2 linked regions of the Drosophila melanogaster genome follow. The protein of the gene in region 2 interacts with the protein of the main gene of each other region in a pairwise test. Each region holds a gene or a part of one and is shown on either strand. Other genes may lie near its edges.

What was found.
Region 1: the proteins of sona (region 2) and Grip91 interact in a two-hybrid assay, tested with the Drosophila melanogaster proteins (one large-scale study listed by BioGRID).

What each region holds. Positions count from the first base shown.
Region 1 is NC_004354.4:13,740,675-13,748,804, forward strand, and holds the start of Grip91 (Gamma-tubulin ring protein 91), read right to left. Parts: upstream 4,010-8,130; 5' UTR 3,725-4,009; coding exon 3,610-3,724; intron 3,061-3,609; coding exon 1,642-3,060; intron 1,568-1,641; coding exon 1,375-1,567; intron 1,304-1,374; coding exon 982-1,303; intron 470-981; exon of another isoform or gene 219-469; coding exon of another isoform or gene 4-218; intron 1-3. Other genes in the region: CG11151 (uncharacterized protein), read left to right, coding at 4-218; Pdcd4 (programmed cell death 4), read right to left, coding at 6,102-6,174.
Region 2 is NT_033778.4:23,793,711-23,801,848, reverse strand, and holds the start of sona (sol narae), read left to right. Parts: upstream 1-3,453; 5' UTR 3,454-4,452; intron 4,453-8,138. Other genes in the region: CG30177 (uncharacterized protein), read right to left, coding at 1-202.

The DNA of each region.
Region 1 (8,130 bases), on a different chromosome or scaffold from region 2:
CAGCTCTGGACTGCAAGAACGCCAAGGCCTACGAGGGACCTGCCCAGGGCATCAAGGTGGACACCACCTTGACGGTCGCCGACGAGGACATGGTTGACATCGCCCTGGGCAAGCTGAACCCCCAGGCTGCCTTCATGAAGGGCAAGCTGAAGATCGCCGGCAACATCATGCTCACCCAGAAGCTGGCGCCGCTCCTGAAGACCGACGCCAAGTTGTAAAAAAGGAGTGATCAACAATAACCCAGCCCAGTTAGCACATTCCTCAACGAGACAGTGTGTGTGTGTTCCCTTTTACACAATTTTTTTTTTTTTTCGTGTGTGTAATTTGTAATCTGTATTCGTGTTTTTGTTTCACCACATAATTAATGTTATTTTTGTACGGAAAAACCCGTCTACAAAACTAGAAAATAATACATAAGGCGAAAACGACAAATTCCTGTGCACTTTGATACTACAAATGGGTTTTATCGGTAAGTGGGTAATCGCTGCGGATTAGATTACAAGAGCGGGCAATCTTATCAAGCTCTTGTAGTCGATTTCTTGGCTAAAACCTTTCGAACTTCGACTTCACTTCGAACCACAAAAATAGATTCCCCCACAACTGCCTGTTGCCAGATTAGCCTATAAATTGTTTGTAATCTTTGAAAACCTCTAAAAATCCGTATAGTAGCTTTCTCAACCAGATAAGCTTGATTTTAGGTTTGGTAAGTTCATAAATCAGGCAGTCAAAGAACTCAAACAAGTCAAGATATTCCCTATATATTTATAATTTCCCTAATTGCCTCCTAGCCAATCAGTCAAAAGTTTGACCCAATTTACCTTGGGAACAAAAGCCAAACTTGTGTATTGAAAGCAGAGTCCGCTTGCTAGCAGTTCGCTGACCACTGGAATCACCATGTGCACTCTGAGTGGCACTTGGCAATCTAAAATATGTGCATGCACTCGAAACAACCGATAAGAAGTCTAATAGCCAGCCACTTACCTTTGCGTTGCCCATCTGCTCCTTCCAGATCTTCATCGAGAGCACAAACTCCATGTGCTTCATGCGCCAGAGTGGCTTGAAGAGCACCTTGTACGTTGGCATGGTCGACTCCAGCATGGCGGCCAGTGGTCCGTGGACAATGTACTGCAGCGAGATGATGTTCCAGCCAATATCACCGTTGAACGGTCGTTGAACAATCACATCGAGATGGTTTAGAATATCAGGATCATCGTACTGGGCATTCGTACAGCGCAGAGCGGAATCCAACATGGAGGTGAGATCGTTAGCATATATATCAAGGCCCGGTCGCTCCAGTTCGTTCCTGAAAAGGCGATTTTCAAGTGTTACATTAGAAATTGAAAAGTTTCAATTACATTCATCAAGAAAACTAACTTCATGTTTTCAATCAGAATGCTAATAAAATCGCCCTGGCCCAACAGCAAGTAGCGCCGCATTCCGTGCAAATGATCCAGCAGCTTGTGTGGGCCCACCATAATGTCGAGGACATGTTTGGAGGTCTGCTGGTAGCACGTTTCCACGGCCGCATGCCAACTGGTGTCCGGTGTGTACGAAAAGATTTGAGAGGCTGTAGATAAGAGCATGGAGCATTTAAATCATTCGATTTCGCTAATCCAATTTGAAGAGCATGCCTTAACTCACCACTAGATTCCATGACCTTCATTAGTTCGTCGCGCTCCTTCATCATACCCTGCTCCTCGCAGATTTCTCTTAGAAAATTAATGGATTTGCCCGTCATGAGTATCTTATTGGCCATATCCATGGGCACAAACTTGGGCAGCATTGGCAATCGTAGGCGGAATTTATCGTGCCATAGCCGATCAACGCCCACATCTTTAATGGACTTCACAAAGAACTCTCTATGCATATCGCTAATGCCGCCCTCCAGAATCCATTTGGAGATCATGCGCACCAGTGGGCCACAAATGGCAGTTAGGAGATCCTCCACCAATTTATTGACCATATCGTTACCGTTGTCAAGGAAATCATAAACGGTCGATGCCAAATCACCGCCCTTCTTTACCTGGCAGGCGTCGGCAATCTTGGTTAACCACTGCATCCGGTGCAGTGGCTTTATATACCAGGCGAGCAGCTTGAATAGCGTCATTTCATCGCCAGCATCGGGCCCACTATCCTTTTTCCCCTTGTTTGCAATTCCATTCACCGAGGCCTGCCGAAAACGCTGCATTTCATCGTGAAGCATTGCCACTTGCCCGTGAAAATTCGCCAGCTCCTCCTTGAGTTTGGAAATCAGGGCCTGGCCCATGCTGCCAATGGCATTGAAACCGGTCGATACATCCGAAAACTTGACCACTCGATCGTGGTAGTAGCCAAGTTCGGAGAGCCGCAGCAACATGCCCGCTTGGCCGGTGGTCAGGAACTTGATGTTCTGCTGATCCAGCTTGAAACGGCCCGTTACCACATCCTTCTTCAAATACTTCCCTTGAACGCCGGTGAAGGAGTAAATGGCACTCATCACTATATCATGTCGAGACTCGGGCAACATCTTTGTTGCATCCAGGTAGTTGGGCAAGGACTGTTTTCTCAATCCGATGCTGGACTGTGTGGCATCATAACTGTGGCTTGCTGCTGCTCCTGTTACCGCTGCTGCTCCTGTTACCGCTGCTGCTCCTGTTACCGCTGCTGCTCCTGTTACCGCTGCTGCTCCTACTCCATTTCCGTTGACCACTCCCATCTCATTCAGACTGGCTATGGAGGAACTTATTGAGTTAAGACGACTGACCAGAATCTGAGTGAGATTATCGCACTGAGTACGTGGATCTTCGCTGGCAACTGCCTTTTCGGCATCCGAATTGTCGGTCATCGTAAGTAGATGGGTCATTAGCGAGTGCCTCATGTGCGGATCGCACTTGGTCAACGTGAGTTTCCTGTACAGCTCATTGAAGTGATCCGACACAGTTTTGCCCTCCTCCTTCTTATTCCGGGCGCTCAGCAGTTTCATTATCTTCTGGACACATTCGCGCTCAGTCAACATATTTGAGTCCCGAATGACCCGACTATTGGCGGCAATCATTTTGCTTAAATGATCCATTGCTTTTTCTGCAAAAGATTGAACAAAGTGCATTAAAACAAGGGCAATGAAGCCTACAATTATGTATAGTGTCTAGTGTATGTGTTGCATTACGTATCCTTAGATTCATTGATTTGGAAATTGTACGTATTGAGGACCTTGAGGATCTAAGAAACTTGCTCATACTTTTATAGTTAAGTATATGTGATCAATAGTCATTTAAAAACAATTCAAAACTATCTACTTTCGGATAAATATCTTTGAATACTTTGAATTGTTTGTGGGATATATACATTAATTTTGAACATTTACGACTATGCAACACACTTTGGCAATGGTTATTGCTACATTTAATCTAGAACTATAAAAATATAAGTATATGTATTGTTAGTTGCATATCTCAAGGACTCTCTGTTTGAAAATGCCATGAAATATGTTGAGTTTCTGGGATTAACTATAATCCTGAAGCACGTGGTCGATTCCCAAGGGTGGAGGCCTTCTTCCCGGAATGCCAGAGCAGTCCGTATGCCTTGCGTGCCTGGACAGCCAGTGAGTGATTGCACATTCCCAAATCTCACCGTGAACTTCGGGCATCTGCTTGCCCTTGATGCAGATGATCATCTCGTTAATGATATTCGATATATCAGTGGAATTGGTTGCCACATCGATGCCGGCGATCCTGTCCTGCGACATCCTGGTGCACTGAATTGTTCATAAATATCCAATCAAGCGCGCGTTAAACAGCCGATTTTGGATGGCTTGGTAATTGCGAAGTGGACAACAACTGTTGGCCAATGGCAAACGCACAGCTGTTCCCTGGCTATAATACGGCGTGCAGTCACTGGCAATTGTTCGGGATGCGTGAAATCTTCGACAGATAGGACAAAAACGCATCCAATTGGCGCGTACTTCATACAAATAATTTATTAAAATTATTTAGTGCAGTGTTACCGAATCTGGGAAACTTGACAAGGCAAAGTCCTAGCCGCTGGCGGGCACACACTGGCCGAAGGTGCAGCGATCTGGCAGCGCTCGTCTGCAATAGGCTATGCCATTTTGATTATCGTTCTACATTTTACTATAAAAATGTATTTCTGTCGGAATGTTACTGAATGTAGCATTTTTGTATAACAGTTATGTTTAGAAGTGCAGCTTTCAGCTTTTATGTTAATTCCATTGCAAACATCTGACAGCTCTGGGGCCGCAAACGTTTCCAACTCTCACTCGCCTGGTCACACTGTCCGTTTTGCATTTGCAATTGCTTGTAAGCAAAAATGGTAAACTTTAAAATTGTTAATATTTAATATAAAGGCTGAAGACATAGATGAGACTGACCAACTGCGTTTCGCCATGGAGCACACCAACGGCTGTAATTGGCTACAAGTCGTGTTTGATACCTACTGCTGGGGGAGTTAAAGCTTAAGGTGCTGCAAGGATGTCTTGGAATTCCAATGGACAAGGACTTTCCTTCGTCGCAATGGGCCATCAGCAGCTGGATGCGGTGGAGCAGTACCTGGAGCAGCCAACCCAACTACCTAGCAATATGTGGGCTAATCCTGAGCCCCAGAAATCAAGCTGGAACCACCGAGTGAACCGGTGACCAAGAAGGATTCTTCGCCACCAGATTTGAACGCGAAATAATATGTGAAATAATATATAATGTATATAATGTGTATTGAAACAGAAACCTCCGGTATTTAATTTAGAACATAGTTAAACTCTCATCCGGTTTACCTTACTCACTTCTATACGTAATTGCATTTAATATCCGGAGATTTCTGTAACGAAAAAAAAGCAAAATAAATGTTGGCCCGATCCTAAATTATTTCCAACTAAATAAACGAATTTGCCCATTGAAAACGCATTAAAATATGTTTTTAATTTTTATTTTTGATGTATATTTTCTGCTTTTAACACATTAGTTTATATATATATATATGTAGATATATATATTAAATATATATAGATGTGTGGGCGCGCATTTTTAAGAATATGTCGAATTTTGTTTCTTCATGAAGTGTGAACATTTTAAAATATAAGTGCGGCGAAAACAAAGTCTTTTTCTTATCATATAAAATGCAGCTTTTATTCAATCAAAAAAAAAAAAAAGCAAGCAGAATAAGATGAATCCGTGGGTAAATATACGTATAAAGTAAAATTAAGCTTAATTATGTTAGTCTTCTGACACACAAAGTTACAAAAAAATTAAGGAAAATCATGTTTTCGATGCGCATAGGAATATTATAAATGTTTTTCTCAATTTCAAGTCAATGGAATTTGTTTTGTGTAATCATCAGAGTTTTGATTGCGTTGATAGCATAAATCATCATCATTGGTTCGTTCCAAATACAAGTTATTCAATCAATTCAATCAACCCAAGAGGTGTGTGTGAGTGTGTGTGTACGAGTGCCTATAACAGTTTCATGTAAATAATATGCTTTGATTTCATGTGGCATAATGACGGTCGTGCTAAGTACGCCCACTCGCATCCTTTATGTGAGATCCTAGCCACAAAAAGCGACCCATCTCTGTTCCTGTTGCTCCTGCTCGTGGTTCCCCGCATACTTTTGGCTGGATTCTTCTTTCTTTTTCTTTTTTTTGTGATCGTTTCACTCATATCTCCTTTTTTAACAAATATTTAAAATATACTTTCGAATTACGCTGGTAGTTACATGTAGGTAAGATATACGTTGTAGGTGTTTATGTAGTATAATAATGAATATAGTTTAAACGGAGATCAAATTCCGATTGATTGTTTGTTTTTTTGTGGTTTTTTTTTTTTGCTTGTTTTTGTTTTTCGTTTGTGTCCTTATCTGGATTCTGAGGATAAGTTCTTTTTATCAAGTTTGCGACAAATTCTTCATATCGTCTTTTGTTTCTTATAAATGGTGTATTTATTCTTTGCGTTCGTATGAATTTTCGTTTTTTTTTTTTGTAATTTGGTGTTTTTTTTTTTGTTTTTGTTTAATGTTTGCTTCTCTCTTGTTGCTCCTCTAGTTGTCATTGGGTGGCTGGGGGCAGTGGTCATATAAGCATGTGCAGCATATAACGTCCCCGTTGTCCCTATGATTTAATCACGCATGGTGAAGGTAGTCGGCTTCACGTGGCCGCCGTCGCCCTCCGAAACGAAACGCTTGCGTCCGCTGCAAATATAAAACGGGGAAAATTGATCAGAAATCGGTAACACAATTCGAGTAGTAGTAAATATAATGGCCCTTGAAGTTCGGTAAACAAATCATCATTTTAGCCTGATACACATTTGCTATTGTTAAACAATGTTTTTTTTCTTATTTTTAAAAGACTTTGCAGTGGTGTAGCTTTTCTTAAACAAAGAAATAAATGCATGTGAAATGCAACTGCATAATACTATCTCGTTCTCTTTCTCTCTCTCGCGCTGCCTTACGCACTAAGCAATTACAATTATGCAATGCATTGCCGCTAAAACAAAACAAAAAAAAAACAAATATAATACAAAGAACAAGAAAACAAAGAGGAGAAAACAAAAAACAAGTTGCGAAATGCTTGGCGCAAATTTGGTAACAACAATAACAAGAACAACAACGAATTTGCACAAAAGTTCATTCAACCGTTGACCCTTTTTCGCTCTCTCTCTCTCTATCTCTCCCGTTGGGAGTCTCTCTCTCCCGTTGAGGTTCTCTCTCTCCACTGCTCTCTTTACTGCAACAGCTGTGCAAAAGTAGCGGGTGAACCAAATGCAGTGGGGTGGTGAGAAGGTGGGGAGAGCGAGGTAAATTAAAACTAGTTTTATATATTTAAAGGGGGACACCACCAAGCTGGCCAATCAAAGGATTCTGGCCTAGAAACAAAACAAACAACAACAATGGCAAAAACCAGCTGGAGCCTTAATTGTTGCTACTATAAATATGTGACCAAGTGGGGTACTAAATGCAGAAATATACATACATATCTATTTATAAACACAAACACACACACAAGTGCACTGGTGTAGAAGAGTCAGTTAAAATTGAGGCAAGATAAGCGCGCGATCAGCAAAGCAAGTAAATACAAGAGTTAAACAAATAACAAAATATATAAAAATAAATCAAAAATAATAAAGCAAAAGCATAAAAGAGCGGAGACCTCAGAAAAAAACCACAGCCAGTTGTAGCGCTGTGCTGGCAGTTTGGCTACTTTATAGATGAAGCATTTGCCATTTTATTACAACTACGATTTCTTTAAGCTAACTAACTAAAAATGATCAAGAACTTGATTCTATACCATACTTTATTAATTTATTTCACATATATTCTTAAAGCGAATATATTGGAGTTATTAGAATATAGCTGGAAAACAGCCAGCACTGGGCCTCATGAACCGTTATGTCTGAGTCTCTTGGCATTGAGTTCAGCTTTAAAAAAAAACCAAAACAGAATGAAAAAAACAACTTTTGCAGTTGTAGTTGCGTTGGCGTCAAATGCAGTTGTTGTTGGGTGTAAAATGAGCGGTGTTTGTGCTGTTGTGCCTTTGCGGCTGCTGCAGTTTGTTGCTATTCTAGTCGCTGTTGCAGTTGTTGTTATTGCATTTGTGGCTGTCGCGCGCTGTGGCAAAGTGCAATAGCCGCTGTCAAGGCGAAATGCAAATGCAAATGCAGTTATAGTAGTGGCAGTAACAACAACGACAGCAGCAACAACAGCAGCACTACTAAAGTGGGAGTGGCAGAGCAGGTCGATAACAGCAACTTGGCAGCCATGTTTACCTTCGCACAAACACTAAAAACAAAACAAAACAAAAAGCAACAACAACACGCCAAGACGATCTTGAGCCACATGCAGGTTGTTGCACCAACAAACAACAACAGAATTCATAATAAAGTCCAAGCAAAACAACAACAATTCAGCAATGCAAAGTTTGCCGTGATAAAAAACCAATCGATAAGAGACGTCCAGCCACATTCACCCCACCAAACCCCTCCCAAACAATCCCTACGTTGCACATGTTCACACGATGGAAGAATATGGATTTTTAATTACCCTTTTGCCAGGCCTATGCATTAAATAAAAGTATTGTTGAAATAACGTAATAATAATAACCCGCATGCTAGCATTATACCAAGTAAATCTGTTAAATAGTAATAATTA
Region 2 (8,138 bases):
ACAGGATAAGCTTGAGACCAGCGTAGAAGGATAGGCCACCGAGCAGGAAATCCGTGAGGACTCCAAGTCCCTGCAGCAGTGCATAGATTACCCAATACTTCAGCCAGAGTTCGATGAAGTGTCTCTGGTCATGTCCAATAGCCCGCAAGCTGCTCCATCCAGGTAGCAGGGTTCCATAGTAAATGTATACCAAGCGCAGCATGCCCGCTGCTTAAACAGAATGGCAAACAAGTTAAAAAAAGTAATGTAAGGGTTTCGTATACTGTCGAACTGAGTTGATAAGCGTGGAGAGTGTTTTGTGAGTAATTTCGAAAGACGTTTAAGTCGAGGAGCTCTTTGGTCATTTGCCTGTAATGTAATCGGTGTTCATCGGTGTTCAGCACTGGTTTCCCACCGAAAATGGTTTATAATGATTGAGCTCGCATTCCGAAAAGCGGAGAGACAATCAAATAATTCCTTGTCACTTCCTAGAGTCGACAACAAATCTGTGGCCAGCACTTGGCATCGGCCATCAGTGGTTTGAGCCGGGCTAAGTGCCTGGGGGCTTTGCCCGCGGCTTTCGCAAGACCAGGAGCCAGAAGCCAGAAACCATGGGTATCCGCGTGTGTGCGCCTGTCTTTTGGCCAGCTTTATGCATATTTATAGATTTGTTTGGCCTGTTAGTCGGCCAAAACCAAAATAGACCAGAGCGCGGCGGGGAGAAAGAGACCCAGTTTATGGGCCAGATTGTATTAATGGCGGCGCCTTTTGGCCAAAACGGCGCTAGTGAAGCGAGTCCATTGGGCATTCGGTAGTCCGCGCAGCAGTAGCAACTGTTGCTTCGACCTGACATAATGGAAATAATAATACAATATAATCGATTCGGCTACAATTTTGCTCAACTTGTTCGACCTGTCTGCCCCTTAGATTTATGAACATTTCTTCGGGACTACGTTTATCCGCTTCACTTGCTCGATAATCCTCGTTTTATCCCACTTTATAGTTTGCCAAGTAGTTTGTTGTTTGTATTACACAATTTTAATAAACCATACATTTCGTATGTGTTTCGCAGGCGGACTTGGCTATTTCCAAACAAAGTAGCGTGAAATGTTGAAAATTATGCAAATGTTTTATGGCTTTTCTTTGTTTGTCTTTGTAGAAATTATCGGGGGAAGAGTCGCACATAAATATCGAACCAATCTGGGATGGGATGTATATTTAAATGGGTTTTGTTTCGTTTTTTATGTTTTTTTTTTTTTTTATGTATCATTGACGCCTCGTTAACTGTTTTCATATGGGCTTTGTGGGATAGAGCGGGGATTACAAGCTGGATTCGACGATCTGTTAACTTTTTTATGGCAGATTCGTACCTCCTCTGCGGTTGCCCAACTCTTGGTTTTTTTTTTTTTTTTTGGTTACCGATGCGGGCAGATTGACATTGACCCTTTGACATGGATAAATACCTCTGTGCATGCGTGTATGTGTGCAGATGCAGATGGGCGGCGAAATATATGTAATTTGATTAATCGACCAGCTGGAGAAGCACATTTTCTTCAATGACCTTTAGTCATTATGTTATTGACCCGAAAAGGTATTTTGTACGGAAAACCATCATTGAGGTAGGTTTTTTTAACCAAATATTGCTTCCGCATAAAAACTACATCACGAATCGAAATGATTGGCTAGCGAAGCTACCAGCGTATTATTAGGGAATCTATTATTTAGGATGAAAATTTGGGGACTCATTCAACATCTTGGCAGGAACAAAAATTCGTTTGGGGTTCAACAATTTTGAGAACAATTGCCAAAAAGCCAAGTAAAATGTGTCAAGCATTTAATGCATACGACGTCAACTCGAATGCGATGCACTGTGAGAAAGTCAGGACAGGATTTGACCAATAAACAGCGCAAATTTAAAGTAATGTAAACAAATGCAAGGTAATTAGCACGAAATCCGCATAAAAGTAATGGGTTCAATTGCCAAAACGAAACCTGTTCGCTGAGCACGAAGATCGGCAATTGGGGCCAGAAATTGGGTTTGGATTGGAGGTGCCGATGGGTTGGAACTTACAGCCATTAATAGATACCATCGCCAACTGCGACTTAAATGTCGCATGAAGTGCGGCACTCAGATCGCAGATCAGAGATCTCCACGGGCCGTTTGCCGCCAGCAAATGGTAAATGGAGTCCATATATGGGAATGGTATGGGGAGGATGGTGGGAGGATGGGTCTCGAGATTGCGGATCTCACATCTCGTGTGCCCCCGTTGAGTCATCCGGAGATCGGTTCATTGCCGTTTCACCCAGAGAGCACTCGATTGTCCTGGTTATCATCATCGCCGTCCGCAGCTGCCGGGCTTACGTGGGCGGTTCAGTGTGCCCCGATTTTGGATGTGGAACCCGGCCCATTGAGATCTTCACATCGATCTCTCAATGTGTGACAATTACCTTTTTAATTGGCCCAGTTTGAATGGACCGATTCGATTTAATTGTATGTGTGCTCATGTGGGAGTCAAATGGATTGTTTTTTTTTTTTATCAATGCGAATACTGTCATTGAACTTGGTGTGAATGAAACGATTTTTTCTAACACTTTTGAAAAATGGTTTTTGTTTCCTTTGTCTTGGCTTTGAATGAGCGAAGTGCCGACTCGATTGGAATTTCGGATTAGAATGCCAAAGTAGGTTAATCATTTAATCGGGTAGAATTTCCGGACTAAGCCTTCGAAGTTCAGTCGGTCATTGAAGTACATGCTTTGTATGAAACACTAACTTTTTTTTTATCAAAGAATCTTATCGTGAGATCAAACATCATGTTAGATCATTTGAAAAATAGCTCATGCAGCTAATGAGTTTTTGAAGCGACTTATCACTGTCATATCTCGGATCACGAATGCTGCTGGTATGATGCGATTTGTTCTATCAGAACTTTCAGTTTCCTGTACAAAGTGTCAGCGATGTCAATGCCCAAATGACACCTTCCTTGCTAATTAATTTAACATTCGACTCGCCAATTAAACAACGTCGAGTGTTTCGGAGTGCTCGTAACATTTTGAATGCGAAGATGCCCGGCTGAAGATTAATTAAAGCGAGTCTTTACAACATTAATCAGTCGGCTTTCATTCCACTCAAAGAGTCATTCAACGGCAAGTGAGTCCGAGTCCGAATCCGAGTTTTAGTTTATGGCCAAAAGCCACTCGAAAGCTGGCTCAAAGCGAAGCTCGAACTATGGAACGAAAAGTGCAAGTGTTTTATGTTTCGCTTTCGTTGGTCGCAGAGCTTTCAAGGCTTTGGCTTTGGCTTGGCTTGGCTTGGCTTTCGGTTATGATATGGCCAGCAGATCGTCTAGCAGCTATAAGTTTTGGCCCAAAGCTCCGCTCCGCTCAGCTCTCGTACCGCCGATGGTGCCGTCTCGCTCGGGCAGCCAGCTTTGGATCGGTTTTGGACTCCGTGGAGCGTTCCGAGCGATCGTTAACTTTAGTGTGCGCCGACCTGTTTCCGTAGACGGCCACAAAAAACCGTCAAAGACTTAGCCACCGACTCTTTTGGACATTGATTTCGATTCGAATTCGAGAAACGGTCGCTGAATTAAATTCCCAAAAAATTCCCAAGTGACTGTCTGCTATCAGAAGATATATATTGTATATATACATATATGTATCATGTATATCAGGTATATAAGTGCATCGGCAAGATCGTGACGTCAGGGCAGCTCAAAAGTGCAATTCCCCAGCCAAACAAAGCTCAATTTGCGATCCGCCGCCCGCTTCAGCCCGCTTTCGTAATAGCATCGTGCAAAAAAGCCAGTAAAAAAAGTTGATAAAAAAGTGAATCTGCTGTCCGGCATCCCGCTCGCACCCAAAGCCAAGATCGTACCGCTGCAGTCGACGTCGCCGTCGCCGCCGTCGCGCTCTTCATTGTTTATGTTTTTTTGTGTTCTTCCCCCCCCAGAAGGTGGGGAAGCAAGCCATAATAATAAAAGCAATGCGGCGAAATTGAGTGAAAAATAAATTTCGTTTACGAAAAATAATCAAAAAATATCGCAGCGAATGAGAGGAAAAAATTCACTGCCAAGCAAATTTCACGCCGTATTTAATCGTCGCTCACCGACCGCCTCCAGCTTAATCGCTGCTCGTCTTTCTTTCCGCCACGTTCCGCGATTCGCGATCGCGAGTGTTCTGTGCCCCGATTCTGGACAGATAGCTCCGGCTTTAGCCCCAGTAACGGCCACCGATCTAATCCGATCCCGAGTCCGAGTCCCAGCCCCATCCCACCTTCCAATTGCTCGCCGCGTCGCGTAGTCCAGCACTCGAAACAGATATCCATCCTTAAACTTGAAAAGTCCAACTCACAAGATAGAAGATAGTGCTGTGTGCCTGCCTATGAAAGTGCTGAATAAAACTTGAAAACTCCTCGAAAATCCGTTTGATTCGCCACCATTGTTTGGCCAGTGGAGCAGACAGGAACAAACTTAGGTGAGGTTCAGCTTAAAAATATTTTAAGTAACTAGAAAATGGGAAAGGAAGCAACAGGAAGTGCTTGAAAGTTAATCTTTCCATAAGTGCAACACTCATCTCAGTATAAATTTCTAAATCAGCAGAAGAAGTGTTCCTACAAATAATAGATATATTGTAGAAGCAGTTGGATTCCGTATCCAAGTAGTCAGCACTTTTGGTCTTCTGCTATCGTAGATCTTTGATTATTACCTCATATACCAAAAAGTGGTTGGGTGGCTCCTACTAATTTGCAGACAAGTTTCGGGGCATAATTATTACCACACATGTGAGTTTGGTTTTGAACTTGCTAATTGCGGAACCGAGCCAGAGGAACTGAATGCCAAATGGGATGTGTGAGATGCCAAGGAGGCGAGATGCAGTGCGCTGTCCCTGTAAAACGAGATTTTTCTAGAGCAGGATCTTGGCTCTTGGGCGGGGAATACTATACTATACTATACTATACTATACTATATGTGCCATATGTACGTGCACAAGACTTTTGTCTGGCTTTTAGTTCGGCCCACAAAATGGGCTTGTTTCCCAGTTTTAAGTTCAGTTCGAGCGGGTTTTGTTTTATATTTTTGTTTCGCTGAAACAACTTTTCGTGCCGACTTCTTGTTGTCGTTGGTGTAGTTGTTGGAGTAGTTGTTGGTGTTGCTGTGTTGGTGTTTTGTGGGCTTATTATCCCATTGTTGTTGTGTGTTTTCCGTTGGCTTTTGCGAGCCTCGAACCAATGCGATTTTGTAATATTGCTACAGTTATTATTGCCAGCCACGCTTTGCTCTCCACATTTCGTAGTGAATTTTAGTGATTTTGCTGCAATTATTGCACTTTTGATTTCAACAAAGAGTGAGAGCGAGAGAGTGCGAGAGAGAGAGAGAGAGAGAGTGAGAGAGGGGGACGAGCTTTGAGCTTTCTGATCGGCCTTTGTTCGATTATAAATCCAATATACCCACACCCCATGGATTCGCCACTTTCTATGCCATTGATATTCTGCGGAACAACAGCCCTTCTGGGCTTTGTCCAGATTTTCCATAAATAGGCATTATTTGCGCCATTCGATAGCGATCATTCATCAGATTCGGTTTGGCGTTTGATTCGCTTTCAATTCATCTTGTATCGAGTGTTTTGTTTCTGGGGATCTTTTCAGCGTTTTCATTGACATCGGCGAAGACGAAACCCGAGTAACCTGTTTGTTTATATTTTTATTTGTGTTGTTTCAGTCGCCCAGCCACTCAGCTTACTAAGTTGTTGTTGCTATTTCAGTTTGTTTAGCATTCATGGAATAGTTTGTGTCGGTGTAGTCAATGTACTCGGTTATGTTTTATTTACCCATAAACTGTTTGCCCGTAAAGTGTTACTTAAGCTTAACCTTTTGCGTAGTCATCATTTTGCGAATTTCATTCATATTTCGCTGGCATTTCATGTAAAATCCTGCTCAGCATTACTTAAGCTACTAATAGGTAAAATATTTATTTTACTTTTAATTAGTGAACAGTTTTTTAATTATATCCTTTGTGTTTTCTTTACCAAACTATAGCAATATTTCTATATTTATTGCAAGCCCATAAAATTTCCATTTAAATGCTAAAAGTTTATGATTGCATCGCCACAAGCGGTAATCGAAAAAAAAAAAACAACAAAAGCCAAATGCAATGGGAATAAAGTTAAAAACCCATGCAAACCATCACACAAATCGAAGCAAAGTTGAAGTCAAACATTTTAGCCGACGTCTTCTTCAATTTCAATTACAATTTCACTTTCATTTTCATTTTAATGCGGTTTATGGCTTTTCCGACTTCGACCGCAACGCCAACTGCGGCAGCGCAGTCGACTGCGACGCCGACGCAGCACGCAATCAGCGCAAGTGCTTGTTGTTGTTTTTGCAGTTTGTGGCAAAGTTGCATGTTGTAACAACGGCTGGAAAAAATCATAACAATTGCAAGAGCAGAAGCCAGAAACAACGAAAGACAGGAGCAGCAACTCAGTTCCGAAATGCAATGCTTTTTACTCTGCTGCTTATTCTTTTGGCAAATATTTCATTTATTTTCTTTCGCTGCCTTTTCGCTTGTCATTGCCCATCTTTAAATTTAATTAGTCTCGCATATTACGTATACGTAGTGTTGTTTTTTTTTTATTTGCCACCTCTTCCTTGCCTTTGCCTTTTGCAGTTTTTCAATATTTGCGCATTTTATAATTTTATAATGGCATTTTGATTATTATTTCGTATGGTGAAGAGGGGGGGGGGGGTGGCAGATGTAGAAAAAATAACTTCAAGCTTGTTTTCGGTGATGTATCTCTTGTGCTCGCCCTCTCCTCTTGCACATTACGTATACGCACCGGGGGCCAAGTCTTTGTTGTATGCAGAACCATCGGCTAGATGGTCTTGGCTAACCATCTAATATACATAAATGAATAATATGCTCAGGAACAGATGCTTAAGACAACCATTTAGGCGACGGCCCTGAAACCAGTTTTGGCAGCCATGATCTTCGATGGATTATGTCAGCGAACCTAGAATTTAAATTGGTCTCATTCAAATATTAGTGTTTGACATTTGGCCCGCACTTTATATCTTTTTGTTCGCCATTAGCCAAATTTGCACAGCTGTTTTTTCTTCAGCTCAACTCGCGTTGACGTGCTTTCAACAGCGGACTAGCGACTCAAGGTGCAGGTTCCCAGACCGCATTCATTGTTTTATCATTATAAAACAATGGCCAAAAGATTCGCTCGCCCTTTTCCAGCCAACAGGCATACAAATGCAAAAAGTTCAGGTCACAGACACTTTACGTAATCCCCACCGCCACTTGATCGCTGTCTGCAACTTGCAGCGGAATTGTCGGCGAAGTATCGGCTAAATTTATTATCTCCTGGGCAAAATGTTCGCAGTTGAACTTTGTTATGTCACATTTTGGCCGATTTATGTGTGATCCACATATTTTTTCTGCGTCTGTCTGGGAAATGGGTTGGCTGCGTCACTCATACGCCCTGTGGTTCCAGTTCTTCTCGCAGCCAATGTCGCTGTCAGACAGACGAGCGATATATGCGGGAAATGGGTTCATTATCAAGCCAAATGGTGTGCTACTGACTCAGGTGCTGACACAGGTTCCCCCAATCCCCGATGCTTATCGGCCAACAGAAGCAGCTGTTTGTCTGACACACCGCTGGCAGAGGATGGTGGAGAGAGGTGGCCAACAACTGTCAATGTCAATTTAAACTAAAACGCTGACGCCCTACAAAAAGATCGAGACAACGAGCTTACAACAGAGTCGCACTCGGCGGGTTGTGTCAGCAAATCATTAAGAAAGCAAAAGTTAAAAGCAGCCAGCAATAGCACACAAAAAATTCCCATAAACCGAAACAGACGCTGACTTTATGGTAAAAGGCACAAGACCCACAAAAAACGAGGGGGGGGGGGAAGGGGAAAGAAAAACATATTCGGCCAGGCGGCATAATTATGCGGAAGCTGACAATGCAACTTGCTTTTCGGTTTTTGGCGGCTTTCGGGGGCTTTTGGCACAGTTCCATTCCCACTTCCATTTCCAAACACTTTTCGGCCAGCTTCTGTTTGAAGCTGTTCGGTTGACATTTGATGATGCGTATCTTTTTGTTTTGTTTTCTATATACTTTTTCATTGGCCCGTAATTATATAAAAAATATGAACG